3 linked regions of the Mytilus edulis genome follow. The protein of the gene in region 1 binds, or shares a complex with, the protein of each later gene. Links are inferred from orthologs where the notes say so. Each region holds a gene or a part of one and is shown in the gene's direction. Other genes may lie near its edges.

Region 1 (10,746 bases):
AATAATATTTCTGTAGAACCCCACATGAAAATAAATTATATATACATGTACAGTATTCTTTATTCATAATTACCTGAACAGTATGATTAAGAGGAGCTGTCACATCCTTGAACATGTCTTTTACATCCTAAAAATATGCAATATTGTGATAATATTCTGTGAATTCAAGCGTGATTTTACCGATATTATTTTTATAAGTCAGTTGACTTTTAGATGAAAATATATAATTTGATAAATAAATAGAACATAAAAACTGCCATCCACAATCTTTGAAAAATTGTTATGTAAAAATAAATCAACCAACAGAATTCTGTTGAATAAGGTCAATTTTATAGCCTTTCAAATATGTGAAAAAAAGCTCATAAATAGATTGAACTTAAATTTTATACTGTAAAGAAAACATTTCTGTTTATAAATGTCAATGCAATAGTGAAAACAAATCTTTCTGAAGTTCTAACTTAAGTGAAAAAAAATCAACAAAACTTGAAATAAGGTTTGGCGTAATTTTTTTTTTTTAACATTAATATAAAGATGAGATTTTAAAGGTACAGGAGAACTGAAAATAATCATAAAAACATAGGATATTATTTTAAGCAGATAACTTTGATACGGTTATGAGTCATGCATTTATTCACCAATATTTTGAATCAAATGTCATAATTATTTAAAATAGAACTGAACCTTCAGTCTGAATGCTTGTAAAAAAACCAAAGATAACTTACTAGTGGTTTTGGTGCAACATTTGTTTTATCGATAATACTTCCTAATTCTGAATATTTCTTTGTTTCACTAGTTCCTGTAGAGAAAAAAATAGAGAACATTTATTTATGTCTTCATTTTATCAAATTAATCAAATGTTAAGAAAAGTAAGCTTATACTTCTTAAACAAGTCAAAAAGCATAGATGTAAAGTGTCAGTTGGAAATTCTAACATTTTACTCTGTGAAAAAGGGGAATATTTTGCATTATACACTTGTGGTTAAACCATTTATTTATAAATACATGTACAATTTGAATAGGAAATTATGTTTTATGTTTTTTTTGCAAAATCCTGATTTTTTTTGTAATTACTTAATAAAATTATGCTAAATACCTCCATATGTAAGAGGAATGCAAGACTGAGCATTTGCCATTTTCTTATCCAGATCATAATCCACAATTCTCCATTCTCCAGTCAATGGTATTCCACTAAGAGGGTCAATTTTAGATGTACGAGTAAATGCATCAATATTTGGTGCTGAATATGTATGTTTTTCGTCATTTGCTTTGATAGTTATAGGTCTGTATAAAGAACTCAGCGATATTGGACATTCATATTGCTGTGCTAAATTATCATCTGTTATCTTGACATATCTGGGTAGTGGCTTCCTTATAATATCTAAACTGTAAGTCTGAGTGTATATAGTAAAATATAGTATGAAACTAAACAATATATACGTAGAAATATTGAATTGAATCTGAATTTTCAAATTGAGTATACTAGTACAAATATTTTATATTACAGACAACAGCCATTGACATCAGGCAAAAACCTAGTTGAAATAGAACAAAAGAATCGAAGCTCTTTGTTAGAGAAGGCGATAAATGCTTACTGTAATGTTTACTATAGTAACACAAATTTTAAAAGTTTATAGAAACAAATAAAATGACAATTTTCTTCTCAATTACGAAGTGTTTCATATTTATAACACCATTTGCATAAGTTTTCAATTTATCTTTTACATAGTTAAGCAGAACAATTAGATATCAAGTCGACGACATGAGTATCTATCAAGTTGGATGTAGAAAATGCATAACCTCCGAATTTTTTTTTTTTAAATTACCACAGACGGAGAACATATCAATCTATTAGTTCAGTAATTTTCGTGTCTGCCCTTTCGTTATGTGACTCAAGAAAAAATTCCAAAAAATGGGTAACAATTGTGTAGAAAAGAGAAAATCTAGTGCATCTTTTTATGTTAGGGTGTGTTTGAGTTGAATATTTTGTCTTGAAAACATACAAAGCAAGAATATTTTATATATCATCTCGCTTCAGTTTTCTATCATTTTTATATATCAAAGCTACAGGTTGACTTTATAACATAAAAAAATCACAGTATTGAAAGATAAAATATATGGGACAAGTGAAATACCTATCTAATGAATCACAAAAACAGAGTAAGTGTGTTCGAATAGCTAATTTTTGTTACTAAAAGTACTTGACGACAGTCTTTTAAGTTGGATGATGAAAATGCATATCTTCGAGAAAAAAAAAAGATTTTTTTGTGTGTGATAACTAGAGTTTATATTTTCCAACAAGTGAAATTTTTTAGTCTGCCCTTCCAAGAAATATTTAATTAGAATTTTTTTGAAATGTTTATGAATTTTAGAAAATTCCACCTGACAATCGATCAGACAATAGATTTGAGTTGAATCAATGCAGACAAAATCATTAACTGATGCTTATTAGCTAGTAGATACATTTGTCTTTAAAATACAACTGACATATAAGGATCTTAATGGTGCTATGTGGATAAATTTATCGGTTTTCAAGGGCAAAATTGGCAGCACGTCATCCCTACAATGGCTTCCATTTCTACGATAGTGAAAATGAACTGGCTTAATGGGGAGATAATTTGACGAAGTAGAATCCTGACTGACATAAATCATGTACTGTCAGTCTTTCTAAACATTTGTAAATGCAAGGTAAAACAAGCACAAAAACATCATGCTTGATATTAATCCTATCATTTTTTGTTTTCTAAAAATGGCCTAAGCACAAAGAATAATGTAGCAAATGATAACATTAACAATTTCAAGTACAAAATGTACATGAATTTAAACATAACAAAATGATCCAGTAATTTTAACATTAGGTTTAAAGTGTTTTTTTCTTCTTTAAACATATCTCTTGAAAGTTTTTACTTGTTAACAATGAAATAATTGTCAATGGTTTTTGGTAGAATTTTAGTATACCTGTTTGTTAGATCCATCAGCTGATGTAACTTCTATCTGGAGATTTGTCTCCCCTACATTAAGAGGTGTAGATGTCCCTGGTTTTTCTTTACATACAAGAACTGCATTTTTGGGATCAGGTGCAATTGGTGTTACTGTCACCTTGTCTGAATTGCAGGGTAATAAACCTAAAGTATTCAACAAATAAAGAAGTAACTAATTATTTTTTTTAAAATGCAGCTTCTATTGTGACTCCAGTAAGCGTCAAACAACTTTCAGAAAAATAACAGATGACTCATATGGTTTATCTCCAGTTTTAAGTGAAGAAACTGAAGCATTATCAAGGCTATTTCTCAACTAATTCAATATATACATTAGGTGAAATTACAATACTAAAATTTATGGTATACACGTACATGTAGGCAAATAAAGTTTATCTTGAGATTGACTTGTTGGCTGCCAAAAAGAATCCATGTGCCATTTACTTACATGATAAAAATATAACTAAGAGTCTTTCCTTTTAATTTTTTCATGAATTCCCTTACATACTTGTTTATTTAATTTTTTTATATATATTTTTTTTTTAAAAACAACGATTATGAACATGATGAAGGTACAATCAAAATAAGATGTCAAATTGACCATAAATCTAATCTTAAAAAATATACTGGATATTATCTAATCTTGAAAAAATATACTGGATAGTTATCAATTTTTTGGTGTAGCAATTACATAATTTTCAAATTTTCTGGGATATAATAAAGGCAGATTTGAATACTTTACTTACAAGAATATTCAAATACATTGTCAGAAAATTCTGGTGATAAGTCTCCATCTGATAACTTTAGATCACTCAATGTAGCATCTTTTGCAGATAATCTTTTGGCATGTATAAAATAATTCTTTATGGTACAATCTTCAGAAGTGACTTCTATCTTAATATCAGTGATTTGACCTTCTTTAAGAGGAACATCCTTGCCACCATCACTTCCCTGTCAACAAATCAATAACAAAAATAACAGTTAACGCTGTACAATTTAGATATCAAAATATTATTTTAATTGCAAGACAGAACCAGATGATCCACAGGGTGCAGCTTTATACGACCGCAGAGGTAGAACCATGAACAGTTGGGGCAAGTATGGACACAACATTCAAGCTTGATACAGCTCTGAATTTGGATTGTGATTAAATAGTTGACACAGCAAATTTAAAGGTTTCTGACACAGAATGAATGTGGTCTGATGAACTTGAAAAAAAATCTTTTGCTTTTGAGCAATACACTATATATATAGATGCTGTTGAATATAAATCCCCTAAAAAAAAAATTGCGGTCGTATAAAAAACCAAAATGACAGAATAAAAGTAAAATTTTGGTTCTGTCGTTAAGGAGTTTAGTTGTGATGTTATGACGTCATATTCAATGTAAACAAAGAAATGCTATCATCAGGTAACATTTTTTCATATCAAAGAATTACTAAAAATGAAATTGATATGTACAGTGTTCCTTCTTATATTTTACTAGACTAATAAAGATATATTTTACTCAAAAAAGAAGTAGATTTCTGCACAGATGTGGGATAATAATAAAGTTAATGATTTTGAGTTCATTAGGGCCAAGTTCACTTGAAACAATTCAAACTGTCAAGTTTACTCGGGTTTCAACAATACGATTTTACTTGAACCACTCGAGTTAACCCCTCGTACTCTGGTTCCAACTCTCACCAAGCCAAGGTTAAACTCGAGAAACTCTTGAATGACGTCAAACCAATGAGAATATTTATTTTCTATGCTTTGTCAGGGCCTCTACCCTAGAGTTACTTAGAGTTGTTCTGAATATCAACTCGAGTGCATTCATGTGATAATCTATTAACTCTGAAGTCTATTGTAAAGTTTTAAGTAAACTTGGCCAAGTAGAATGAAAAATTAGGGAATTTTCCCAATTTTTATTATTTTAGTGGATTTTTCTACCGTAATAGTAGTCCAAATAGAATCATATTCAAAACAGTGTAGCTGTGGCCATTGATTAACGACCTTAAATTCTCCCATTGACTGGGGCAGATTATGTGAACGTTTGACTGTAACAACCGCTGCTCACTATGTACTTGTTAAAGACACTTAAACTGTGGGGCCACAAAAGGTTCTCAACACCTAAATAAAGTAATTAGAAAAACTAATCAGGAATAACACGATGTTTTGATTTATATCATTAATAAGAATTAAAACATAAAGTTATTCCTGGTTAATTTTTCGAATTATTATAATATTAAAGGCGTTAAGAACCTTTGGTGACCCCACAGTTTAAATTCTATAATAAGTAAGTGGTGAGCAGTTGTCGTTACAGACACACGTTCACCTAATCTGTCCCAGTCAATGGAATAATTTAAGGTCGTCAATCAATGGCCACAGCTACACTGTTTTGAATATGATTCTAATAATGACGTCTTGGAAGGCTATTTTAAATTTTTGCTTTGACACCTTCATGCGTCGATGTAAGGGGGTCAAAGAAAAAAATATAATAGCCTTTCAAGATGTCATAATTATTTGGACAACCGTAATAGGGGACTTTGTCCCATTATAAAGAATTTAATAAACTTAAAAGCAAAATTTTGGGGTAAGGTTAAATCTTTTCCCTATTTAGTTCAGGCAGCATGTCAACTATGTTGCTGTCATGTAAAATTGGCACCATCATGTTAAAATCTTAGTACCATTGCAAACTCTATCCTACAATTAGTCAACTCATACTACTAAAAGTCAACTAACACCAATGTTAACTAGAAATGCTGAGAGCTTGTACTATCGCGAGCTTGTAACATTAAAAATACAATGACAATTTACAAAGTATACAAATGTTTTAAAAATAATGTTTGCAATTTTATTTGTTATAATCTGTAAGTTGGAGTTTTCCCGGACTGGGTGAGAGTTTGAAATGGCAAGAGTTTGCAGACAGTGATACAAATTTGATTTAAGTGGTGTGAATTGACATTGGTACAAGTTTGCAATGTTATTTAATAATTATAATTCGTCATTTCAGACATCACTGGCATGCAGTTGCATCTGGCATGTCTGGTTATATCATACATACAGAGCCTGCAGAGGGCCAAACTTTTTTTTATAATTTCTTACAGAAATGCAATATGATGCACCCGTATCACTGGTGAGAGGGTCAACGTGAATTTTTTCCACATTGCTCGCTAGGGTCACATTATATTCTGTTGTGTCTTTATGAAACGCAGGTGACAATTTTCCGGGCTTTATGACTAGTTTATCCAAGTTGCAGTCGTCCATCTTGAAACCTAGGACGCTAATTTAGAGATTAACTTTATGAACATAATGAATTTTGATATACAAAGCCTAAAGAGTATGAAAAAATATGTTAATTTTCAATCTTCTTGGTATTATGTACTTTAAATTAAAATTTTGATTCAAATAATTTTGTTTGAGGCTAAACTCCTAGTCACAGGAAGTGAAAAAAAAATCGCGGGAAAGACAATTTTGTCAACAAAACATTTCAACACTTAAAAATGCCTTTCATTTCAGAAGAAGAATTAGAAGATGAATTTAGTGTATTCGGTGTAGAATTCAGTAGTCCTCAAATTGTTGAAAAATGTAAATGTTTTAAATGATAGAAACTACGTATTGCCAGTTTTAAGCCACTTCCACTAACATTTGGCTATCAAAAAAATTTAGACACTTCGGTACCCAAAAATTAGGCATCGAAAAAAGTTAAGAGACACGAGAAAAACAGTTCGGAATTAAGTCAAATAGGCACACCATTAAGATTTTTAAATTTAACTATGTAAATAAATTGGAATGTGTAAAGCCCTGTTTACATGTTCGCCCTGTCCTTGGTCTGTTCGTCCTGAGTTCTTTCGCCCGTATAGTACGTGTTCATTCTCTTTACTTTTATCAAGGACGTTTTATAATACGTCTTTGCATTTATTCTCAGATCCGGACATCCTGGCATTTACATTTGTCAGGAGGTGATGAAATCCGGAATCCTCTAGATTTTTCATCTATTTGAAGGGGATAACTGATCATTTAAATTGCCGATTATTTTTTAACCAGAGGTTATAGTATGTTAAAAATCAAAATGGAGATAGTATATAGTGTCTTTAACAGTATTAAAAGAGTAAAATTACTATATTCAACTGGTTATGATATATATCAATTAAATTAATTTGCAATAAGTCTATGGAAAATCTAGAGGAATCTTATCCGCATCACCTATCAACATTGTTTACATAACAAAAATGCTAATCATTGATTGGTCAGTTACATGTTGTGATGTCACTGCAGATCTGAGAATTAAAAATTATTGATATTAAGGGGAGGCCTATCATTAAAAAACTCTAAAACACGATTTAGTGAAAATCATCTGTTCCTTATTTAGTTTCCAAGGTAAAGCAATCGTGTTCAGCCACTCAAATTCTGTATTTCGCATGATCAATTAATAAGCCAATCAAAAACGTTGTCTCTGAAGATTATTCTAACATGCTAGATTTTGAACTTGTGTTGTTATCATCTAGTTATTAAATCGTGAATATGGCATGTGAATTTTCATCTGCAAGCAGGTTCTTACACAGCTTCAGAATAAAAGCATGGCTGAGTGACAAAATTCAATGATGCAGTACTACATAAAGATAATACACAGTATTTTTATGCCCCACCTACGATAGTAGAGGGGCATTATGTTTTCTGGTCTGTGCCTCTGTGCGTCCGTCCGTTTGCTTCAGGTTAAAGTTTTTGGTCAAGGTAGTTTTTGAAGAAGTTGAAGTTCAATCAACTTGAAACTTAGTACACATCTTCCCCATGATATGATCTTTCTAATTTTAATGCCAAATTATAGTTTTGACCCCAATTTCATGGTCCACTGAACATAGAAAATGATAGTGCGAAGTTCAGGTTAAAGTTTTTGGTCAAGGTAGTTTTTGAAGAAGTTGAAATCCAATCAACTTGAAACTTAGTACACATCTTCCCCATGATATGATCTTTCTAATCTTAATGCCAAATTATAGTTTTGACCCCAATTTCATGGTCCACTGAACATAGAAAATGATAGTGCGAAGTTCAGGTTAAAGTTTTTGGTCAAGGTAGTTTTTGATGAAGTTAAAGTTACATCAACTTGAAACTTAGTACACATGTTCCCTATGATATGATCTTTCTAATTATAATTCCAAATTGTTATTTTGACCCCAATTTCACGGTCCACTGAACATAGAAAATGATAATGCGAGTGGGGCATCCGTGTACTATGGACACATTCTTGTTTTTCACTAATTTATCATGTTTATTGACATAATACTTGTTGTAACATATTTTTATTTTTGTATTCAATTAAATCATTTAAAGGACAACATACTATTCTTTTTTCACAAAGACCAACAGACAGGTTGGGACTTCCCCCCCCCTCCCCCCATATTATGAGTGGTGTCCCTTAAATGAGGGACCTAAAACAAGGGGTCATTTCACTGTTGAAAAAAAAGAAAGAAAATTTTTAACTCAAAAGTGGGAAAATTCATTATATTTGGAACAATTTTCTAAATGAGGGGTCAAACTAATAAAGAAGATATAAGTTTAGAAACATCACAAAATTCTTTTGACATGAATACTTGATAGATGCATAGTTCTTCATCAAATAATATGAATATAAAGGTGCTAATTTTTTACAGTGGGTTGTATTGTTCTTCCAATGAGGGTTACCCCTCATTTGGAGTGTTGTTCCCAATCTGTCAAAGGTCCATCTTTGTGCATAATTCAAAATTGGAAATTTCAACAAGCATCTAATATTCATGCACAAGAAAATAAACCCTGGTCTGCTAAATACATGTTCATCTTTTCTACCGATTTAATAACTAGAATCCTGCAAACAGGGCATGGGCATTATGTTTTCTGGTCTGTCCATCTGTCCTGCTTCAGGTTAAAATTTATGGTCGAGGTAGTTTTTGATGAAGTCCAAATCCAATCAACTTGAAACTTAGTACACATGTGTTTCTTATCATATGATCTATCTAATTTTACTGCCAAATTAAAGACTTACATGTACCTAATTTTCACAGTCCACTGAACATAGAAAATGATTGTACGGATGTGAAATCCATGTACTTATGACACATTCTTGTTTGAAGAAAAAAAATTATGTCATAACGATAATGGAACAAAGCAGGCTGGATTAGTGGGGCTGCTTTTATGGTAATTCAAGTTTCCTTTTATTCACCTTCTTCCACCTCAGAGCTATCAGTTCTTTGATTCTTCTTTTACATGTGCCATTCTGATTTATTATAATTCAAACTTTCGGTTTAAACATACACTAAGTTTCTTACTTTTTTGTGTGTGATTTAGACTTATTTTCACAACTGTGATGTGTACTTAAATCATTTACAAGTTATTTACAAGCAGTTACAGCTTGTTTGATGATGGAAAACAGGTTTTATGGAAAACAGGTTTTTCCAACAAAATACATCAAACAACCACACATGTTTTGAAAGTACTGGAATTACAAACATTTTTTTACCTGACATAAAGTCCCTTAATTCTGATAATGAATAAATTTCCACAGATATCAGAATAGACAACTTTCGAGTTCCATGCATTTCCGTCAAAAACTCTGGTTTTAGTGAACATCATTCATGCATTTAGGGGCATCCTCACTTCAATTTCTATGTTGAGCGAGTGGTTGGAAAATAACATGTACAAAAAATGTATAATACTATATTGCATGTTTTATTCGGCAAACTTAATTCTCATTTCATGATTTGACAATCAGTTCTGCTGTCATTAGGGAATTGTGATTAAGTACTTACAAAACAAACATTATTTCTAGTTTATCCTGCAGAATGATGATCACTATGACGCTTGATGAATGTTGGTAGTGCAGGGATACAGGCCACCCCTCTATCTGGTAAATTAGGTCACAAAGGCGTGTCTAATTGACAAGTTTTTTTCCGGTGACAGATGAACTCAAAAGTGGTCTATTGTCACAAGTTGAAATGAGCTTTCAAAAGGTTTATCAAGATTTCATTGTATGCATAAAAAAAGCATGCCACTAGCAATAAACAAAATATAAATCAAAATTAAATTAAGTATTTTTAACTTTCCCAGTTTTCCCCCTGATATTGCTATTTATAGGGATGCTTTTAAATTAAAAAAAACATGTTCAAGTTTATATATTCACGAAGATTTATATTTGCGATAGTTTTTGACTTGCGAAAGTACTGAAAATAAATCACTTGCAATAATTAGTAAGTTTACAGTATTCAAAAGTACAATGTACTTTGTTAATTATTTAACATACAACTGTTCGTTATTTATATATGTTTTGAATTGAATTGATGTCTTATTTCAGTACAAGAATTGTGTGTACAGTACAATTTGGGTGCAGAAAAGATAGTTACAGAATGGGTAGCATTTGCCAGCACACACAAAGGTGTACAAATGACATTAGATTCTCTAGACCAATTAGACAGAGAAGTGAGTCATTTTATACATAGAAATTGTAAATTGTAAAAAGAACATCACAAATGTTGACTTTGCTTAAAAATAAGATAGTTCATGCATTGTATATATATATGATAAGGATATCCAATAATCTGTTCTAGATTTACTAGTCCACTACCAATAAAGTCGAAGTGGACTTAAGGTTTGCATTTTGTCTGTCTGTCCATCAGTCAGTCCGGCAAATCATTTTTTCAGACTTTTTTTCTTCATGCTTGAAGATATTGATATGATATTTGGTGTATTGAGTTATCATGACAAGTTACAGGTCAAGTTCGATTTTCAGGATTTTAGCTTTTCTCCTTGTTCAGTTAGTCTT
Region 2 (11,010 bases), on another chromosome or scaffold:
TATGGTATATGATATCAGCTACCTCCCAATAAAACATTAAATGTGGTCAGGAGAACTGCTTATGGTATATGATATCAGCTACCTCCTAATAAAACATTGTATGTGGTCAGGAGAACTGCTTATGGTATATGATATCAGCTACCTCCCAATAAAACATTGTATGTGGTTAGTAGAACTGCTTATGGTATATGATATCAGCTACCTCCTAATAAAACATTGTATGTGGTCAGGAGAACTGCTTATGGTATATGATATCAGCTACCTCCTAATAAAACATTGTATGTGGTCAGGAGAACTGCTTATGGTATATGATATCAGCTACCTCCCAATAAAACATTGTATGTGGTTAGGAGAAGGGCTTATGGTATATGATATCAGCTACCTCCCAATAAAACATTGTATGTGGTCAGGAAAACTGCTTATGGTATATGATATCAGCTACCTCCCAATAAAACATTGTATGTGGTCAGGAGAACTGCTTATGGTATATGATATCAGCTACCTCCCAATAAAACATTGTATGTGGTCAGGAGAAGGGCTTATGGTATATGATATCAGCTACCTCCCAATAAAACATTGTATGTGGTCAGGAGAACTGCTTACTAAAACATGTCAGAGCCAACTTAAAAAGAAACTGAGTCAGATAAAGTACTTACTGTGTATGTTATCAGAGCCAACATTCCAATTAAACTTAATATACTGATAACAAATGAAAGGGCATCTTCTCCACCTAAAAAAACAGAAAATACACTCATAAACACTTTATTTACAGTTGACAATAAGATAAATCTAACTGTACAGTACTTGTCAGTAGCAATAATTATTATTTCAAACTGCACATAAAAGATTAAAACATCAAGATAAATATCTTTTAAAAACTACTTCCATCTAATAAAAGTTCATGTTAAAGCTAATATTCAACATCATTAACTCACTTCAAACTTTTCACATATTACAGAATTACTGTGAAAAGATTGATTTCCCAGTGAAATAAAAATCGATAATTTCACATGTGAAATAAACGTGGTTATTTCACTTCTCCGACGTCATACAATAGTCATATATAACGTTGGATCAAAACAAATTGTGAATGCGTAGAAAAAGATATAGTTCCTTGCATTTTCTACTTTAATTTAAAAAAAAAAGCCATTTGCCAATGTAATAAAAAGAAAAACTAATCAAAATATTCAAATATCGAAAAATATTCAACTCATAACCAAACAACACTGATAATTAACTCATGCGCTGCAGGCATTCATGAATAAATGTGTTGTTGGGTCACTCGTTGAATATTTTTCTATATTTGAATTCTTCTATTAGTTATTCTATAAATATTGGATGTCTGCTTGCAAATATTTCTATAAGCAGTTGGGTTGGTAACTCGTTGACATACATCTGGTGGTACAAAAATTTACGTATTTTTTTTAAACTAATCAATATATTACCATTAGTGCCCATCTGCATAAACAGATTCTTCACATTATCCCATTCGGTGGAATTACCATTGGGCTGTGGCTTTGTTGGTACCAGACCTCTGAAATGTCATATATAGAATAGTTTTCAGTACTATGCACTGGACATTTAAAATGCACTTTCAAAATTGGTAAGCAGACAATAATTTTTGACACATGAATCGATTTGGATAGCAAGTTATGTTTACATATTGATTTTATTCAAAATCCTTGTGGAAACAGAAGTTTTTAGAATAAGACATTTCTAATAGAAGTAAGGAAAAAATATTATACCCTCAGGGTTTAGCTAGGATTTTGAGGGCTTTAGTCACTTTTGAGCGCTATAAAAATCAACCTTTTGCTGTGTAACAGCAAGGGACCAAGGATGTATATTACTAGCTTCATCTTTGACTTAGTCTGATTTTAAAGAACTAAGGCATGATTGGCAGTTATTGTATGATTTGACTGTATTGTCCCTTATTATGATAGATTCTGACATGGGATCCGGAAATTTACTTCTCAATTTCTCTTCAGTTTGTTCAGGGGACATTCCTGATTAACAAAAGTTGGATCCCTTTTTTTTATACAAGGAATCACAGCAGAAATTAACCTGCAACTATTATCTCACTGCATAATCATTATCCTTATAAAACGTCTAAATCGATATTTGGAAATCATTTCTATTAAGTTGGAACTGTATAAAATCCTTTTTGGAAGGATTATAATGACTGTAAGGAGGTTTTAAACAAATCAAGAATAGTTAATATTTAAGTACTACTTTCAATGTTTGTTGAATATTTAACACAATAAGATCAGGAAATATAATGCCCCTTATTTAAATAAATTGTAAACTACATTATGTCAGAGACAAAGACTACAAAACTGATTATCTAATATGCCTTGAAATCATAAAACTTTTGAGTCAGTTTTTTAACTCGTACTCCAAATTCAACCAATCAAAATGCTGGATTCATGTTTCGAGCAAGATTTTTGTGCTCCGAGCACTGAGCAAAGTTTTATGACTTTCTGTTATGGTATGTAACTCTGTTTACTACAGACAATCCACTTATCAAATGAGGAGTTATTGTACTAAACTGAAAAAGCTGATATCTTTAAATCAACCTCATAATTCTTACCCAATCAACATCAGGACACCAGCTATAATCAGAAACACCACTGTGTACTTGGATGCTGTGCAGAATTTCTGTAAAAGCAAACATAATTTCAAATTTAAAAAGTGAATGATCAATCAATGATTGCATGGGATAATAATTTTTTCAACTCATGCTTCCACTCAAATAAATCAAGTTGAAAATTTTGTCAACCCTGATATTTATGAGATGAGTACCGGTATTAGGTCTCTTATATATAACAAATATCATAAATAATAATTTACTAAGCAATTTATTTTTAGATTCACAAATAAGTCTTACGTTTATTAATGCATTTAAGATTGATTGATTGATTACTGTGTTGTTAATGTATCAAGATAAATCCCTGTTAACTACAAAATGTATCAAGATAAATCCCTGTTAACTACAAAATGTATCAAGATAAATCCCTGTTAACTACAAAATGTATCAAGATAAATCCCTGTTAACTACAAAATGTATCAAGATAAATCCCTGTTAACTACAAAATGTATGCATCAATTCAATATCAATATTTGTGTATTACACATGGTTATAACAGAAATAAGATAAAACTTACAGATCTACAGGAGGTGGGATTCGACTCATCTTTTTCTTCATAAAAGAAGTACATAAATGGTAACAGCAAGAACAGACAGAATGTAACCAGTGCATACAGTGCTAAAATAAAATTTGTTTTTCGTTCATTTTATTATATAAATAAGGCCATTAGTTTTCTTGTTTGAATTGTTTTACATTGCCATTTCGGGGCCTTTTATAGCTGACTATGCAGTATGGGCTTTGCTAATTGTTGAAGGCCGTACGGTGACCTATAGTTGTTAATTTCTGTGTCATTTTGGTCTCTTGTGGACAGTTGTCTCATTGGCAATCATACCACATCTTCTTTTTTATATGAATGTTCACTTATAGCATGAAACTTTAATAACACTGCAACTTGGAAAACTGAACAGAAAGTCATGACAAATTATCTTGGAAAATTCAACAAAAAGTCAGAGAAATTAGGCTGACTTTAAAGTTTTAGATTGCAAGGTCACAGTACAATCAATTTAGGGCATGAATTAATTAGATTGCACACATAATGATATTGAAAATAAAAAAACTGTAAGATAAGATAAGATAAGTAAAAAATATGTCTTTCAAGATTAACTACTTACTGTAGTATCCTATGGCTACTGTATTCTCTACTGAGTCTCTGGTATCTGATGAATTTGCCCATTCCTAAAATGTTTTATTCTTTATCAGTAGTGTCTAAACAGAATAATTCAAAGTTCTTCCAAATAACCGTAATGAGTCATAGACATCCGACATGCCATTTTTATTTGGGACACAAAAACGCTGAAGCATTACCTAAAGTGGTAGGTTTTTTTTAGATCTTTAAATAAATCTCCATACATCTTTTAAGAAACTTGTGCGAGAGTCAAAATATCTAGTGGCATTCTTGCATGTATTACATAAAACAAGAACAACTGCAAACAAACAGATTGTTTATCATGCTGTTAGTCTTACCTTGAAAGTGCCATCACTGTTCTTCATAAATGAGGCTAGAAACACATCTATTGGTACCAAACATACTGTTAACAGGGCAATGGTAAGGGAGATAATCCCAGATATAGTTGTTGATAATGATGGATCATACTTGCTCATAAAATACTTAATATATACTACTGAAAACAGCAAGGCAAGCTAAAACATAAAAAAAAACTTGGCACAATTTGATATGAAACTCAAAGAAATAAACTGTAATTTGTAAAGCAAGGTCATCTCATTTTTCTTAGAATTTTTAATTTTTAATTTGTGCTTCCAAGAGTATCTGAATAATTTCTTGTATCATATCTTTCAAAGGAAAATTCAACAATTACACACGCCCTTATGACATCATTTACAAGATAGAAGGTGCATCTGTATCCATGCACCATCAAAGTTTGAAGCATTATTTGAATGGTCATTCTGCAGAGTAGTCTAGAAATAATGTCCGTATGTACGACTGAAGGGAGGGTGACCAACTAGAATTAAAATTTGATTTCCCATGCATATATGTAGGTCATGTGGTTATGAAGGTTACATGACACATACAATTAACTGCTGTATCTCAGATCAGGTGTATCAATTTATTGATCAGCCTCAGGTGGTCACATAGATTGTCATAGTAGAAATAGATGAAAAAGGGGTCTTTTTCTCGAGGCCTTTTGGAACAGACATAGAGAGTTATCCAATTTTTTTACACCAATAAATAAACAAAAGAGTGAATACATTGTACAAGTGAGATAACAACGAATCCATGACAACTCGCCCCACTTTTAAAAAAATAGCCACACTCTTTTTTGACGACAACTCCCATTGAAAATAGGTCCTGACAACTCACCCCACTTACGAAAAGTTTGTAAGTTTAAACTTTATAATATTAATTATGATAAAAGCCAAAACTGTATATATAACTTATAAAGTTACATTCATAAAAATTTTCTACAAACCATCTACATTGAGTGCTGTACATAGTCTGAAACAAAGCCAAAAATAATTCTAAACAAAATTACACTTATACTCTTATATCATTAGAGGTGTTCCTTTCTATAGAAACTTATACAAAGAAGCAGAAGAAAAGGGTTAAAATCCTGCTGAACATGCTGAATAAAGGTCTGCCAACAAAAACCACAATGAACTTCATCATGCCAATAGACCATTTTTAGAGTTCATCTGTCACCGGAAAAAATCATCAACTAAGCGTGCCTTTATGACTTCATTAACCAGATAAAGGGGATCGCCTGTACTATTAACCTTCATCAAGCGTCTTAGTGATTGTCATTGTGCATGGTATAAACTAGAAATAATGTTTGTTTTGTAAGTACTTAATCACTATTCCCTATTGACAGCAGTGCTGATTGTTAATTATGAGAATTTAATTTGCCGAATAATTTGTGCAATATATAGTATAATAGTTTTCCAACCACCCGCTCAACATTGGAACAGAAGTGACCATCCCCCTAAATGCACGAATGATGTTCACTAAAACATGTTCACTAAAACCAGAGTTTTTGATGGAAATGCATTGAACTCGAAAGTTGTCTATTGCTGCTATTTACAAGTGGGGCGAGTCTTTTGCTTCCGATAAAAACACATACGAGATGACAAAATTACATTACTCATCATTAGTCAGGTTGGGAACAAACCCCCTGTATGGTGATTATACCTCTATAGAAGGATCTATAAAGGGGTATTTTTGTTTGCACTGGATTTAAAGCAAATTAGGGCAGAATGGCATTTTCTAGTTATATTGGCTATAATCTCTAGCATTATATATATGCATCAACATATGCACTTTACTTAAAATTGGGATAACCAGTTTTCTGCTAAAGTGACAAAACTTGCAATCTATTGTAAACCTATCTGAACACCTGATCAACAACAAAAGGAATAGTTGACCTTTGAATTTCATGTTATATCTAACAATAGAAATTCTGTTCAGTGAGGCATAAGTGAGTAGAATTTACCTGATCATCACAGCTTTCAATCATGGTGAACAATAGCTTTTATATTTAGTCAGATAAGCATCAAACTGGGCATGTATTTTTGTTTTTGTTTTGGCCCTTTTGTTTTTGTAAATATATATATAGGCCACGCTGCGCGCGCAAACAGTAAATAATCTTCAGATCATTGAAGGACTACTGAAAACCTAAAGAAGAAGAAGAAGATGTGCATATTAAATTAAGTACATCAATTGGTGCATCAACTATTCCAGGTTACTGCCATAATAAGTAGAGAATGCCATTCTGCCCTATTTTGATTTTAGTCTAAACAAAAATACCCCTCTATAGAGGGATAAATTTACCCCTCTATAGAAGGATTATCCCTCTATACAGGTATAATCACCATATAGAGGGTTTGATCCCATATGAAAAACAAATCAATGTGTTTATGTTTTTGACAATTTCTATAGTTAATAAATTTATTTATGTTTTGCTGTAGGGACATGATGAATACAGACTGAATCACAGTAGTCAGTACCAGTGAATACAGGGGCCATTCAACTGAATTAAAGTTTTACTGTGAAAATCTGATCAGGATAAAAGATGACATGACATACTTACAATAATTATCACTACAAATGGAACCCAAGTAGCAGCAAGTGCTCCACTCAAGCTGACCATTTTGTTTTTGTTTTCGTTAAACGTCAAAGTAAAGCTTTATCTAGAGTTATCATTGTTTGTAAGCGTACAGATGCAGTTGAACGTAAAAAAGTTTTTAATCGACAAAGTCCGAAAGTTCCGAAAACATTTGTTTTGAGCGGGAAAGGCAAACAACAAAAAAGTCAACAAAATGGATTTCGCAGGCAACAGCAAAAAATCTGGACGATCCGCAAGAAATAAGAAACAGTTCAACCGCGTTGGTCATAATTTACAGTTCTACAAAATACCACCAACGGGGGAAATATCCCTGCAAGAGTTTGAAGAATATGCAATTGACAGATTAAAAGGTGCCCTAAAATTAGCCAAATTTACAATTAAGATAATCAATGAAAATCTAAGCAATTCTCCCTAATGACTCACAAATAACGTTATTGAAAAAAAAAATCCTGAAAAAATGATATAGCAATAACTTCTGACTAATTTTTATCTGGATACACCGATTTCCTGAGAAGTTCATGATTCGAGAACTCCCCAACAATACACCTTATCGCTATTTGTCCGCCATTACTGAAAATCACACAGGTTCCCTTAAAATTTTGACGTCATAATATAAAATATCTGACGCCACAATGGAAAAGTGCTTGTTGTATGCGTCAAAAGTTCAAGCGGCCTGGTCAGCCGGGATTAGTGATAAGGTGTATAGTCAATACGACAATACATCTCATAGGCGGATCCTGGGGGCCTGGCCCCCCCTTTTGTGGGAAAAATTTGGTTGATTATATAGGGAATCATTGAAGCATGACTGGAGCCCCCCCCCCCCTTAGGAAAAGTTCTGGATCAGCCACAGCATGTTATCGCTATTTGTTTGCCATTACTGGACATCACACAGGTTCCCGTTAAATGTTGATGTCATTATACAAAATATCTGACACCACAATTGAAAAGTGATTGGTGTGTGACGTCAATCATTTGTCCATAGTTCAAGCGGAACAGATTCTTGGGTCACCTGGGAAAAGCAATAAGGCATATAGGCCCCTTCACGGTTAGTATAGCCATGTAGAGAAGGGGTCAGATCATTTGAAAGAGGTGGAAATTGTATAATAATACAGGAAACCCTATGCACATGATGCATGTTTCTAAGAAACTGCTCTGTTTTATTGATGTTTTCCCAAATTTTTCAGACCTTTTAAACCTGCATTATGAAAATCTGCCTATATTCAATATGGCCAAACTAACTGTAAAGGGGCCTATTGAATATTGACCTGAGAGCCGATATATTATCTGAAATCTTTATAGGTTTTAAAGTAGATACATGTACTTATGAGATATTAGTCATTATTTACTTTATAATGGTACCATTTCACCTCAGGAATTTAATTTCTGCGTCTTTACACAGAGTTCACGAAAACTTTTTTTTGACCTGTCGGTCATGGGACTGACAAAGCAAGATTATTTGTCAGTCCTATAAAATTTTAGCCAGTCCTTAAAAATCTGACAATTTTATCCTGAAATAAAAATAATATCCTCATTTTGACCGATAGGACCATTTTCGTGAACTCTCATGCTTTACACAGATATGGATAACAATATGGTAGACGTAGTAAATATTCAAAACGCATATCGTCTAAGATTGCAAAGTTGTGACACTTAGGGATTTCCACTTTATTGGTAATATCATGCTAAGGCCATGGAAAATTAATTGTTGGTTTCCCCTAACATGGAAAAATTTTAAAGACCCGGTAGGCAGGCTCTTTTTTTTTTTTTGTAACCATGCTTAATTTTATATCTATATGTTTTGTTTCTACAGCAGAACTTTAATCTTGTATATTTCAAACACTTTGTGTTATCTCTGGGTTTTTTTTCCAGAAAAATTAAATGACCCGGTCGGGTTAGGGGAAACCATGAATTATTTTTCCATGGCCTAAAGCATTTATCATGGGCAACTTCAAAAAAACTTAATCAGATATTTTTTATTGCAATTTTACTCATATCATCATGCATGAAAAAATGGAAGTTGTGAATGTTCTTGCATATTATTTCTTTTAACTGTTTGCACTATTACTGTTTTATTCCTCTCTAATCATTTCGTTGAGCTCGGGGAAATCATAGCAATGTTATTGACAGACTGACTATATTTCTGAAGCTATTCATCAATTAAGTGTATAAGATTGTTTGCAAATAATTAAAAATTATTACATTCACAGTGAATAATATTTTCTCCAAGGTTTTGTTGGGTCTTTTTTCTTTTGTTCAATCGTCCTGAACATGCATGAAATATTTGACACTGGATGGTAAACAACCAACAATCAAATCAATTGTTTGTTCAAGGTTGGATTTTTTTCTATTGGTTTGCATATATAAGTGTAACAAACGTCCAATCATTCATTGTCATTGAGGATATAACTTCATCTATTTACAGATTTGAAGTTTGATTGAATCACCTCCACTTAAATGCTATTCTTCAATAAACACACTTAATATCAACTGCCCATTGATCCATACAAAAATCTTTGAAGTTTAAATTGAAAAATGTGTAAATTAAAACCAAAAAGTTCTTCTCAAAATAATATATTTAAATAATTGAATTGAAAATATTCTTATTTTTGGGCAATTATAGTTCATGATAGTTACCTTTATTCATTTTAGTGTTATATAATTTTGAGCAGAAACCAAAGAAAAATTATGAGGCTTTAACATTTTGTATACCTACAAATGTATGTTTGAACATAGAAAGAAAGACCTTCAAATACAGCCATTTAGGATTAAGATTATTACTGCAAGTCTCCTATTGTACCAAGGTTGTCATCACTTGAACATCAAGGATAAAAAAAAAGGGTGAATCTGTATTGGGAACTACAAGAATTTTATTTTATTTTATAATACTTTTATATATATATTTTTTCGTTCACCGTCTGGTTCACACCTGATTTGAAATTGTGCACACTACCCTAAGCACCCTTTCAATAGTTTCATTTTTGATTTTGATCACTTAAATGTCCAAGGTTCTTCAGAAAGGGGCACACTTTTCTCTCAGATATTCATAAGCTGAAAGGGGAGATTTTTTAGTTTGAACTGAAATATCTGATATGCTTCAGTTTGTTGGGTATGTTTTGTCATAATGTTTAATAGAGTTAAATTTCATTTTAGTATTGAAAGCTGTTGAAGTAGCTGGGATTCGTCTCATGAAGGGTTCCACTGAATACATTCAGAAGCTACAAGATGAACTGAGAAAAACATCATTAGGACATGATCTTATACGGGTAAGCAGGGATACACTATTTTCATAAATGTAGTAGGTATGCTGAAACAATGAATTGTCCTCAGTTAATAGTTAAAGAACATGAAGCCAAGTCACTTGGTATTAATAATACTTTGTAAAATATTTATCAGAACTCTTTAAATACAAATCTCTTTTATCTTAAAACTGATATAATATATACTGATGCAACCAAACTTCTATTCAAGGGGAAACAACTCTTGTTGATATGATGATAATATAACACCTGCAGATTTTTGAGTCAACATGTTCAAGACAAAGTGTGCTGTATGTATACTTGATAAAGTTTTCTTTTGAATATAATGCCTCCAAATTGCTGTAAATTTATAACATTTTATTTGTAGACGGACAAGAAAGAGGACAAAGACTTCAGACAGAAAGATTTAGTCTCCCATTTTATTCTGAGGCTTGCTTACTGTAGATCGTAAGTTGTTATGACTGTCATTGTAAAGTAGATGGTAGTTGAAAGTTATATTTTAGAAAAAATGACATTATGATATCTTGTTATGGCTTGTTTGGTATAGGAAATGGAAAGTTCCGAAATTTGTGAAGCAATATCTAATATAACCAGTATTAAATGTACATGTTGATTTTAACAAGTGGTCAATTATTTTATATATGTGAGACTGTTTTACCTTTTTATCTGATGCCTTTTATTTTTTCAGAGAAGAATTAAGAAGATGGTTTATGCAGCAGGAATTAGATTTGTTTCGATTTCGTTTCTTGAGAGAAGGACCTGATAGCAGGGATGAATTCCTTAGAGAAAACTCTCTGAATTATGAACCCGTATGTATTTTACTTTTTCTTTGTTATCCTTCCAAAGTTTCAACATTAACATCCAGTTTCTTCCTCCAAAACCACTGCAGCTTGTGAGATTTTGACAAAATCACGGGTAGTGTGTTTGATTTATGTTCATATCAACCAAATATCATCGCACTGTTACCAAATAAACAAAAGTAGAAGAAAGAAAATTCAGCGGGAAAATCTAACAAACGGGTTCTGGCTTT
Region 3 (11,404 bases), about 6.9 Mb from region 1:
AATCCATGCTGGGATTCGAACTCAAGACCTTTAGCATATCAAGCCACGACACATACCACTTCACCAGGACGACTGGATACAAACTATCAGAAATTTAACATACTTAAAGGAAGCAAGATATTTTATAACTGGGGCGAGTTGGCAGACCTTTACTCAGTGGGGTTTAAACCCTTTTCGTTAAATAAATTAGTTGTCAGACTGATTGTTCAGTTTTATTTTACACTTTTATAAAGTTGGGCGAGTCGGTTACAAGAGTGGGGCGATTTTTTTCATAAAGTGGCGATATAGTGTGGGCCGATTGGCCAGTGGGGCGAGTTGACATTGTTTGATATCTACTCATCGTGTTAGGGGGTCATAATGGGTATGCATCATATAGTAATATATAAAGTATATTATAATGGTTGTGTGGCGTTCTAAACTAGATTTTATGAATTGCAAATGGTTTTTCGTCTCATCTAAAACAGCTGGGATGTAAAATAGTTATCCCGTTCGGACTTGGTGTGTCAGTGTAAGATCACCCTCTGGCCTCCGGCCATCGGGATGATCTTACACTGACACACTGCGTCCTTATGGGATAACTATTAAATAATCAATTCCTTTAACAATAATTTTCAAGCAGTGTAAGGGAGGTAATCAAGTAATCAAACCTATATAACAGTATTCTTTAAATTTTAATTTTAATTGGATTACCTCCCTTACACTGCTTTTAAGTTGTCTAAATTGTCCTTTAACCAGAAAAACCCTTGTCCCCCCCTTTTTTGCCCCTACATTGTAATTGCTTAATGATTTGATCCATTACCCCCTATAACCATCCCTTTGCAGTATGGAAACTCGTGATATAATTTCAGAGAGATTTATACACTTAAACACAAGTTATTGACTGTAAACTACAAAAATGCTTATTTGGGCCACTTTTTTGGCCCCTCTCGAATTGAAACCCCCCTTGAAGCAAGAACCCAAAAATTCAATTCCAGCCTTTCCTTTGTAGTAAGAAACCTTGTAGTATAATTTCAGAGAGATCCGTACACTTAAACACAAGTTATTGTCTGTAAACTAGAAAAATGCTTCTATTTGGCCAATTTTTTGCCCCTTATTCCTAAATGTTCAGGGATATTAACCCCAAACTGACATCCCTTCATTATATGGAACCTTGTGGTACAATGTCAGAGAGATCTATACAGTTAAACATAAGTTATTGTCCCCAAACTTCAAAAATGCTTGTTTTGGCCCCTTTTTGACCCTTAATTCCTAAACTGTTTGCCCCATAACCCTTAAAATGAATCCTAACCTTCTACTTAATGGTATGAACATTGTGGTACAATTTCAGAGTAATTGAAATACTTATACACATCTTATTGTCCTGAAACTAGATAAATGTATGTTTTGGGTCCCTTTGGGCCCTTAATTCCTGAACCAAAGGGATCATAACCCCCAAAATCAATCCCAAGCTTCTTTATGTGGTAATAAACATTGTGTTAAAATTTTATTGAATTCTATTAACTTATTCTAAAGTTATTATCCGGAAACCATCCGTCTTCGGACGATGCTGACACCGACGATGTGATTCCAATATATGACTGCAAAATTTTCGCGGTTGTATAAAAATGCAATTTGTTAATTTTTAAATTATTTTCTTGTCATAATTTTGAAAACAAGCATTAAATTTCTCTTTAATGATTGATTCTGGCTGTATCTGTATAATACTGGAAATGAACTCAAAATACTGAGTAAAACTTATACAGGAAGTGTGTGTGTGCGCCACTGATGAGCACCACTGATGTGCGATATAACTGCCTTTAAACTTTCCACAGTTTTACAGTTCACGGCAGTATTTGGTAGTAAGTTCCAATCAATGATAGTTTGTGGAAAAAATTAATGTTTATAAATGTCAGTATTTGCTGATAAAAGTTTTATTTGTTTGACGTTAGAAGTTCTGGATGGTCTAGTATTAAATTCCATGTGATGTTCCGTAGGGATGGCTACCAGGTCATTCACTATTTTGTACAGTAGTACCAGTCATTGTTCTAGTCTTCTTTCCACAAGAGGTTTCCATCCAAGGTCCTTCATCATGGAGGTAACACTACTAGTACGTCTATAGTCTTTAAAAACAAATCTACCTGCTCTTCTTTGTACAATGTATGATCCTATGCGGTTAATGTCTTTTTGTTTTGAATATTTTTAATTCAAAGACAAAAGTAACCAATCAATCTGTTAATTGCTATAAAAATAAATTGCTGTTTATTAAATTAGAATCCTTAAATTGTTATAAAAATGTTATTGATTGTGATACAATAAACAGGTTCCTTTGCAATTATTTTGTAGCCCCCCCCTTCTTTGTTAAAAAAATTTGGTTGATAATATAGGGAATCACTAAAGCATGACTGGAGTGGGACCCCTCTTAGGCAGTCAATGGGCCCCCAGGCCCAGTATTAAAAATGTCTTGATCCGCCACTGAACTATTCATTCATGAATGGGTTCAATAAATTAAATAACGTTGAAATTACAAGAAACTCGTTACATAATGACTTTGATGATTTATAATCAGTATTTAAAAAGCTATTTATAATATATAACATATGGACTTTGACTATGACTAGACTATCATCAATGTACGTTTTCACAGTTTAACTTTAGCCGAGCTCAATATTAGGTTTTTAAATACCTGCATTTTGAACAAACACGCTAATCTTTCAAATGAATTGAAACAGTTTGAATATTCAGTACCTTTACGGGTTGTCTTTTTACAATGACGCAACAATATCTATAATAAAATACGACTTGTCTTGAAAATCATCTGTTTACTTTTTCGTCTGTGCATTTGTGTTCCACGTCATCAATTTTGCTGATTATAAAAATATAAACCGTAGACGGAGACAGTCCTGAATATACGGACAGAAAGTCGCAGGTTATTTTTCTTTGAATAAAATTTTATTTTATCTTTCCTTGAACTATTATATATAAAACAACTTTGGAAACAAAATATATTTAAAAAAATCCATTTATATAATCGAATGATTGTTAAAATAAACTGACACTGTGTCAAAGTGACTTGGTATCATGGTGCCGCAAGAAATATTTATCCTTTGTTTAACTAAAATTTGAAAAGTCTCAAAGCAGACCCAAACATTTTTAATGATTCCCTCAATAACCAACCAAAAAGGGGGACTGGTACCCATGGATTTTTCGCTAAATATGCCTCTGTAATCTTTGTGTACGAGTCAAGTTTAACCACCAATTTTCTTAAAGTTAACTGTTAAATAAATATACGTGATCAAGTATATACAAATCCTTGACGTGATGAAAAGAAAATATTTCAAAAACTTCCGATTAGATATATCTAAACAATTATATATAAACTACATGTATTTGTGATTTTTTTGTCCTTTTTAAATTTGTGACTTTCTGTCCTGTGACTTTTTGTTCGATTGCCGTATTTCAAGGCCTATCTCGATTTAATTGCTAGAGGGAATTACTCACAAGGAAGCAAATAAACAAGATTTTCCTAGTAGAGAGGTACTAACTATCCCGTTCCCTTTTTGCCGAATCTGACATACCGAATTAGACTTATTACAGAGTTTTATATATTTTAATTTGCATGAGCAACACCTGGCGGGTGCAACATGTGGCGCAGGCTCTGCTTACCCGTCCGGAGCAAATGAGATCACATCCAGACTGTTTTGATGGAGTTCGTGTTGCTCAGTATTTAGTTTTCTATGTTGCGTTTTGTGTACCGTGTTGCCGGTTTGTTTGTCTTTTTTTTTTTATCCATGGCGTGAAACTTTAGTTTATTTTCGACTTATGAGTTCAAATTTTAATGTCCCTTTTGTACCGTTCGCCTCTCTTTTTAAATTTTTAAAAGTCAGTTTTTACAAAAGAAATTTGTTTTTTTAACTTCCAAATTAAAGGGAGAAGTCACTTGTTTCCACCATGAAAGATATCAAAATTAGCATAATCATTATAAACGGAGTCCACAAAAGGTTGGAAAATGTTAAACCTCATAAAGCACTAGTCCTTATTTTCGCGACGTCAAACTATCATGACTTATCGGGAAAAGATTCAGATTTCGACTGATTTTTATCATTCAAACTTATTTAACTTGAAAATGAGTTCATGGACCCTCTTTTTTAAAATGCCATTTGGTTTAATTACGCGAGACGATTATGTGTACCAATTTTCATGAAAACGTAAATAGCCACGGTGCATTTTTTTTAAAATTTGATAAATATACAGCAAAAACTGATGATGTTTTTTTTACATTCATGAACATTTGATAAATATGAGTTATTTCTGAATAAAAAATGTACAAATATTTCTATGGAGTGGTTCACTTGATTTATACCGGAAACCGAAAATTGTAGAAGAAAATAAACTGATTTTCCCTATATATTCAATGTAATTTGGTACACTCTCGGACCATTTAAAAAATGGCTTTTTCTCGAAAACGAAGTCGGTGACCTATACTTTTTTTTACATTTTCAGATGTATATTTTCAATATCTAATTGAGTTGTAAATTTTAAAAAAATCTATGGACTAGTTCATTTACTGATCCTTGACCTTAACAAAACACAATTTGTGTTTATCTTTTAAAAACAAAAAAGTTATGTCTTTCGTTCGAAACGGAAAATACGGCCACAAATCCGAATTTTGAGCAAATATACAAAATTTCGACCTCATTTAACTCAAAAAGTAGCACATGAAGGTATATTTTCTATTACATATTTGATTTGATCAGGTAAAAAATAGTCCATATGGAAATTTTTATCAAAATGTAAATACGGGATAAAAACTTAATAACATCTTTTATACTGAAAATCACTGAAAGCAGACCAACTTGCTTCCATTCTAACAGACCTATATCAAACATCACTGAACTTAAGTTCCGCAAAATTGGAGAGATGTACATGTAAGTGGACTGTGGGTTTGAGTGGGGTTTACAGACAGGCAGACAGAATATTTTATTATAGTGTCACATACCAATACAGAACAATATCATACATCATAACATTAGTATAAAAATACAAATAAAATTTTAATGGAAGTTAAAATATCGGTATCCAGCCATGACTGAATTATGAGACACTTTTGCTTCAGAACTCCGGTCTTTATAGCCAACCGACTAAGAAATAAAGGGCACGCATTGCCGAATTGCGAAAAAAGAAAGAAAAAAAAAGAAAAATTGATAACGAATAGAAATTAATGGGGTGTTAAAATATAAAAAAATAGAGAATATTGAAAATAAAGAAATGAATTCAAAAAGGGTAAACATTTAGATATTAAAGAATACAGAAATAAAGGATCCCGTCTAGAAATGTCTAGACCATCATCTAATTCCACTATAATAAAAAAAAAAAGAGACGAAAAAACTTAAAATCTAATTACAGACCAGTTTAATCTTAATTCGTCCATTATATAAATAAACAAATGAAACCTATATTCAAATGCCACAATGGTTGCCAAAACAGGAGTTTGATCTAAATAATCACTGATTAAAAATGTTTTATTCAAATAAATTTTGTTTGTTGGGACACGAACAAAAGAAATACCAGTCGATATATGATCATTCGATTTATAAATAATTATCATTCAAGCACATGTGAAAAACAAATATTTGTCAGATTTAACAGAAAACTAAAACACCCCAGTTCCAAAATTGCACCAGGAAAAATAGTAGCGGAAGTTTTACAAGTTTTCTTATATTCTTATTTTAAAAATTAAATTTCTGGGAACATATGGCATATAAGGATGCATCTACATAATAAATACAGAACGGTAACTTGTGTCTAGTTAAAACGAAGGATAACGAAGGATAACGAAAATATATAGGTTCAATTCGAGTGACTCACGAGCTTGTCTTCACTTCAGTTTTCTTTTGTCTTAGTACAGTCATTTTAACTTTTTAAATTTGGACAGAGGAACTAGATAAATTCAAGAGAACAAATATCACCACTAAATCTTTCAAAAATATCACGAAAATAAATCTCGAAATGCAAAACATTTTTATTACTTTTTAAATCAATAGTTGGTAAAAACATAAAGGTCAAGATACAGTAAAGGGGCTATGCCACAGATTTTATATGCAAATTTAGCTCGTTAAATTATAACTAAAATCGAAAATAAATATGCATTTATCTCTTTTATGAGGGTGGTAAAGGGGGTCCTTGCGCGAAAAAAACTGGCTTGAAATAAGACATAATTTCACGTTGAACGTGAAATAATTTCTGTAATGAACGTTGCACGAAAAATAAATACTTTTATTTGAACCTTTTGTGACTGAGTCACTGTCTTCTTGTATATATTAACTCTTTGTTTTACTTGATATTCCCGATTTAGTATACACATTTATGATATTATTGGTTTACGGCTTTTAAAAAAGTATTTCTTGACGATCCCTGCCAAGTGTTTGAATTTTATTTGAAAAATACCGAGCACGCAAAATAAGACTTTGAAAATCACGATGCACGTAAAATTAAATAAGAAGAACACGTTGAAAGAGGCACCCGTCTTGCACGACTGAACGTCAATTTGAAATAAAAACTGAGGTAAAAACACGTTGAACGTGAAATAAAAAAAGGCGATCACGTTGCACGAAAATAATTTTTACCACCCTCTTTTATATACGTTTTTTTTTTGAATTGGTCAGTGAACATTTGTATAGAAAGCACATATAATCTGCAAATACGTTCTACAATTTGTCTTAATATCATAACATTTCAAGTTTCAATTCCATGTATACATTATGATCCATTATCATATAAATATTGATTCTTCTGAGTGAAAACTTTGAATTCCAATATAGTTGCTGATACCAGACATACAATATGTCCCTGTTGATACATACATTTCAGAGATGTAAAATAATAATGAAGTCACTGATTCAATTGGCAATTGAATCAGTGACTTCATTATTTTATTGGGTCGAATTATTCACTTGCAAGTGAATAATTCTTAATCGATGTTTTTTTTTTAGCTTATTAAACCCAGCCTCGCCCAGCCAGTGCCCATCCCAATCACACACAAAATTGAACCATACGGGCTAATAAAAGCGAATAATTATTTCACTATTTGCATGTCATAAATGATTGAGAAAAAAAAATTATTAGATTTTTTATATATATCTCGTAGTTAGTGCCACTTTATCATATCACCACCGGCAGATTTGTTCAGCTTCATAGTTTATTAACTTGAAAAACGATCTAGACAAAGAACACACGGAAATACTCAGTCTTATTCGAAATTGGTTTTGTCTATTACGCACTCCATTTCCCGCCAAGTACAAAAATGGCGCCAGCTGTTGATCCGCCTGGAAATGAAAATGACAATGATAATAACGATGATTATGGTAAACTAACATGCAAATAAGGATCTGTTTGATAAACACGATAACATGAGAAATGAGACTGAGTGAGACTGAATCCAACCATTTCAAGATGCCATCAACAGTTGTTTGACAATGACTGAATGAGCGAGATTATCTGAGATCAAATACAAAATTATAGCATAACAAAATAACATTAAGGTTCATCAACATACTTTTACAAAAATGACTGTATTAACACCATACAATTATCTCTATGAATGTCTATGTACAGACAAAACTGAGCAATTTAAAAGTTAAAAAGCCTGGCAGCATCTAGATCAATAAATTTTGCATCAATGTTTAATTTATGTTTTGAAAAGTTATTAAGCTTTATGGATTTTGATGAACATTTTTCTTTTCTTGTCATAGAAGATGGTGAAATAAACAAACACTTGAGTTTTAATTGGGTAGTGTCAGTTCTGCCAACTTTTCATGAAGCAAATGCGTGAGATTTGGCCAAAAATGAAAAGATCAAAGAGAAAAAACAAAAGATCCAAGGGAAAAATGCCGCCAAAATAGGATGTTTAAAAGCATAAGCATGCGTGAGTCTCACCCTAGATGCATGCGACTTGGCAGCCCTGCAGTGTCTGCGTGTACCTGCATGCGGGTACAAATAGTAAAATTGCCGTTCGTAGGCTATGCATACCCACATCCGGTTTTATAATGAAATGCCATCAGATCGGGAATGAAACGCCTTGGAATAACCTTTTGACGTCATGCAACAATTACTTTTTTATTGTGACGTCAAATTTTTTTAATTGTTATGTCAAAGTTTACGGGAACCTGTGTGATTCTACGTAATGGCGGACAAATTTGCATTCAAGTGTAAATACGTCTATTAGAACAGCCGATTAATTTTAATGAAGTTTAACAGAATACATTTTTTGTGTATTCATGGAGGCAAAAAATCAAAACAAATTTGATAGAAAAAAGGCCTCATTCAAGGTATTTGTTTTAAAGTGTAGTTTTAAATCGAATTTGCCGTGTTTCATTCATTAGTCAAGTCTGAGACTACTATGTGTTATAGTAGTCTCGGGTCAAGTTTTTTTTATGTCGAATACTTCTAGTTTTCCTATTTTAAACCGTTCTTAGTATAAAGGATATGCCTACTTTTAGTACATTTCAAATGGAATGTCCTTTCCACTTTAAACTTGGAGTGACTAAAGATGGACAAAACCTGATTGCCAGGGAAGCAAAATGTTTATTTGATCATCTTCTGTTTTACATTTTACTAAAAGATTATTTTTAAATCTCATATGGGTATTTTTATAAATTCAGTAAAATTCAATTCTTTAAATTTGCATTTACATTTTATAATAGTATTAATTTTTATCAGTTTTTTTCTTTTTACAGGGACTGTACAGTTTCATTCTTCATCAGTGTGCATTTTATTTTCAATGTTTATTATATATTATTATTAAATACTTACATTTTGAAAATATAATTTCTCATACTTATCTCTTTTTACACGAAATCCCCATATTATTGATAATTTCCGTTTATATTTCATGTTTCATTCCTGATCAGATGGCATTTTTATGCCCTACCTACGATAGTAGAGGGGCATTATGTTTTCTGGTCTGTGCGTCCGTTCGTCCGTCCGTCCGTCTGTTCGTCCATTTGTTCGTCCGTCTGTCCCGCTTCAGGTTAAAGTTTTTGGTCAAGGTAGTTTTTGATGAAGTTGAAGTCCAATCAACTTGAAACTTAGTATACATGTTCCCTTTGATAAGATCATTCTAATTTTAATACCAAATTAGAGAATTTATTCCAATTTCACGGTCCACTAAACATAGAAAATGATAGTGCGAGTGGGGCATCCGTGTACTGTGGACACATTCTTGTTTTTATGATACCAGATGTCGGTACACATAGCCTATGAACGGCAATTTTGCTATTCATACCTGTGACACTGCCTTTTAGTTGATTATATAATTGATGCAGTCCACTCACCTCCAAGATTTCACCATACTTTGTTTATTTTTACACCACCTGAAGGAAGGATAGAACATGTTTAGCTAACCTCCACAAAGTTATTTATTTGTTGTCTTTTTAATACAAAATGAAAACAACTTGTATATAACTTGGTGTTGACAGGCTTCACACTTTTCAAATTACACAATTTTGTCTGTACTCAGAGAATTTAATCTTATGTTATATTTTTGTAAAACTCAAAATTATTCAGCCATGGCCTTTTAAAGTATATCATGAAGACTACAGTCCACTCAGGTCCACAGTAAATGCCTATTGTTGTTGCATATATCCATTGTCCATGTCAATCAATACAATTGATTTCATTTTTGGGATACGTTTAACCGTCAACCGTTTAACTCTAAATATTAAGGAACATCTCAGATTCTTAAGATTTTCTTGCTTTAAAAGGTAAAAACAAACAAATGGATTGAATTTAAACAACTTTCCTATAATTTTCTTCACATGATCTAAGTGTTTCGATATTGCCCTTTTTTCATATGCACGTTTTTTCAACACGGAAAATCAGAATTAAGCAGTATTTATATTTTGTGTTTTTATATATTTAGAAACACGTCACAGAGGGAATTCCGCAGTTTTGTTAAAATGTTTGTCTTTTTTAGCCATGGCATTGTCAGTCTATTTTTTCTATGAATTTGAATGTCCCTCTGGTATCTTTCACCCCTCTTTTAACTTGAATCAAATTTGTGTTCAGTGTTCTCCCCAGGCCGTTTTAGCGCCGCGATTTTCAGCGCTATTTCAATTTCCCGCTGTCCTATTGCACTGACCGCGTCGCTATCCTGTTCAACCGCGTCGCTATATTTTTTTTTCGTATTTTTTAAAATTTCCCGCTTATTTTTCTTTTCGGATCACGTGATTGACTGGTTAACGATTTTTGAAAGAATTACTTCCGTTGTATTAAAGTAACTCCGCGGGACCTGTCTAATAAATTTTACAAAATGGCGTCGTTGAGAGATCAAAATAAACAAAGATTTCAACATTGACATCTATTTAATGAATATATAGAGGCATATATGAATGAAATGAGAAGAAATAAATTGACCGCATTTCCCAACGACATTCACAAACTTGTTTAACGAACTTTGAACAAACACTGATTTTAACAACGATCAAATTGGCTTCAATGAGCTAGTCTTTGAAGTATTAATTATCACCCAATCGAACTAATACCTGTTTAATCAGCAATTCTACAGTAATGAATTTTACCCTTTGAAAACAATTAAGAGGATATAATTAGAAAAACAAACCCCAAGCTGATACTAGACTTGAGAAATTCACTTTCTCGATGTCCAGCTTGGGTGAAGCCAAGTTAAACGTCGTAAGGTTAACAGAACACTACTACATTTTTTCGCTTTATAAAGATGCCGAAACGTATGAAAGGAATGGACAGTGCTAACAGAGACATATAATACATGTCTCGGGTACTGAAAAGTTCATTTCTAAATTATATAAGGGAAGTTTAACCCCCTTCTCTGACAACGTTGTCTCGACCATTTTTTGAACCATCTACGATTATATCATTATTTTTTTTGCGTTTAAAACCGAACTGTCGAACCTGTATTGCTTGAAAGAAGCATCCCTGTTATCAAGGGATTCATTATAAGCCCGTATTTTACGATTACTTGACCATACATGGCTCTTTTTCAAATGGATAAGGGAATAAAACAAAACGAAAATTTTGTGTAAATATATCGTCGCTGTTATGCAAAAACCTCGTATCTAAGGTTTTCATAATTTTACACCAGGCAATAAAAACTGATTTTTTTTATCGATTATTTAGAATTAAATATTTATGTTCCAATGTATGCAAAAATATCGTATCTTCTAACCAATCAATTACCAAGGCGAGCAAAAATTTCTGCACCTATATTGTATTTTCAAAGCTTTTCATTATTTCTAAGCTATACATAATATATTAGACAAAAAATTGACAAAACTGTACCTTTTATAATCTCAGCTGCTAGTGCCATCTTTTTTTTCTTTTGAGATATGATATTTTCGCACAACAAAATGTCTCACCAATCCGACTACACTTTTTCGTCACTTGTCAGAATTCG

Evidence for each region.
Region 2: DNA polymerase alpha subunit B-like (region 1) and DNA primase large subunit-like share a complex: the UniProt entries of both Drosophila melanogaster proteins name them as parts of the alpha DNA polymerase complex. The link is inferred for Mytilus edulis from reciprocal best matches to the Drosophila melanogaster genes PolA2 and Prim2.
Region 3: DNA polymerase alpha subunit B-like (region 1) and DNA polymerase alpha catalytic subunit-like share a complex: the UniProt entries of both Drosophila melanogaster proteins name them as parts of the alpha DNA polymerase complex. The link is inferred for Mytilus edulis from reciprocal best matches to the Drosophila melanogaster genes PolA2 and PolA1.

What each region holds. Positions count from the first base shown.
Region 1 is NC_092346.1:69,958,917-69,969,662, forward strand, and holds the start of DNA polymerase alpha subunit B-like, read left to right. Parts: upstream 1-6,395; 5' UTR 6,396-6,457; coding exon 6,458-6,542; intron 6,543-10,278; coding exon 10,279-10,403; intron 10,404-10,746. Other genes in the region: uncharacterized protein, read right to left, coding at 74-127, 723-796, 1,093-1,390, 2,955-3,121, 3,721-3,925, 6,060-6,221. UniProt on the Drosophila melanogaster protein: Accessory subunit of the DNA polymerase alpha complex (also known as the alpha DNA polymerase-primase complex) which plays an essential role in the initiation of DNA synthesis.
Region 2 is NC_092344.1:119,330,328-119,341,337, reverse strand, and holds the start of DNA primase large subunit-like, read left to right. Parts: upstream 1-6,852; 5' UTR 6,853-6,916; coding exon 6,917-7,073; intron 7,074-9,873; coding exon 9,874-9,986; intron 9,987-10,347; coding exon 10,348-10,427; intron 10,428-10,668; coding exon 10,669-10,789; intron 10,790-11,010. Other genes in the region: probable lysosomal cobalamin transporter, read right to left, coding at 657-730, 1,446-1,534, 2,588-2,655, 3,162-3,262, 3,757-3,820, 4,109-4,285, 6,688-6,747. UniProt on the Drosophila melanogaster protein: Regulatory subunit of the DNA primase complex and component of the DNA polymerase alpha complex (also known as the alpha DNA polymerase-primase complex) which play an essential role in the initiation of DNA synthesis.
Region 3 is NC_092346.1:76,909,318-76,920,721, reverse strand, and holds the start of DNA polymerase alpha catalytic subunit-like, read left to right. Parts: upstream 1-7,233; 5' UTR 7,234-7,279; coding exon 7,280-7,340; intron 7,341-11,404. UniProt on the Drosophila melanogaster protein: Catalytic subunit of the DNA polymerase alpha complex (also known as the alpha DNA polymerase-primase complex) which plays an essential role in the initiation of DNA synthesis.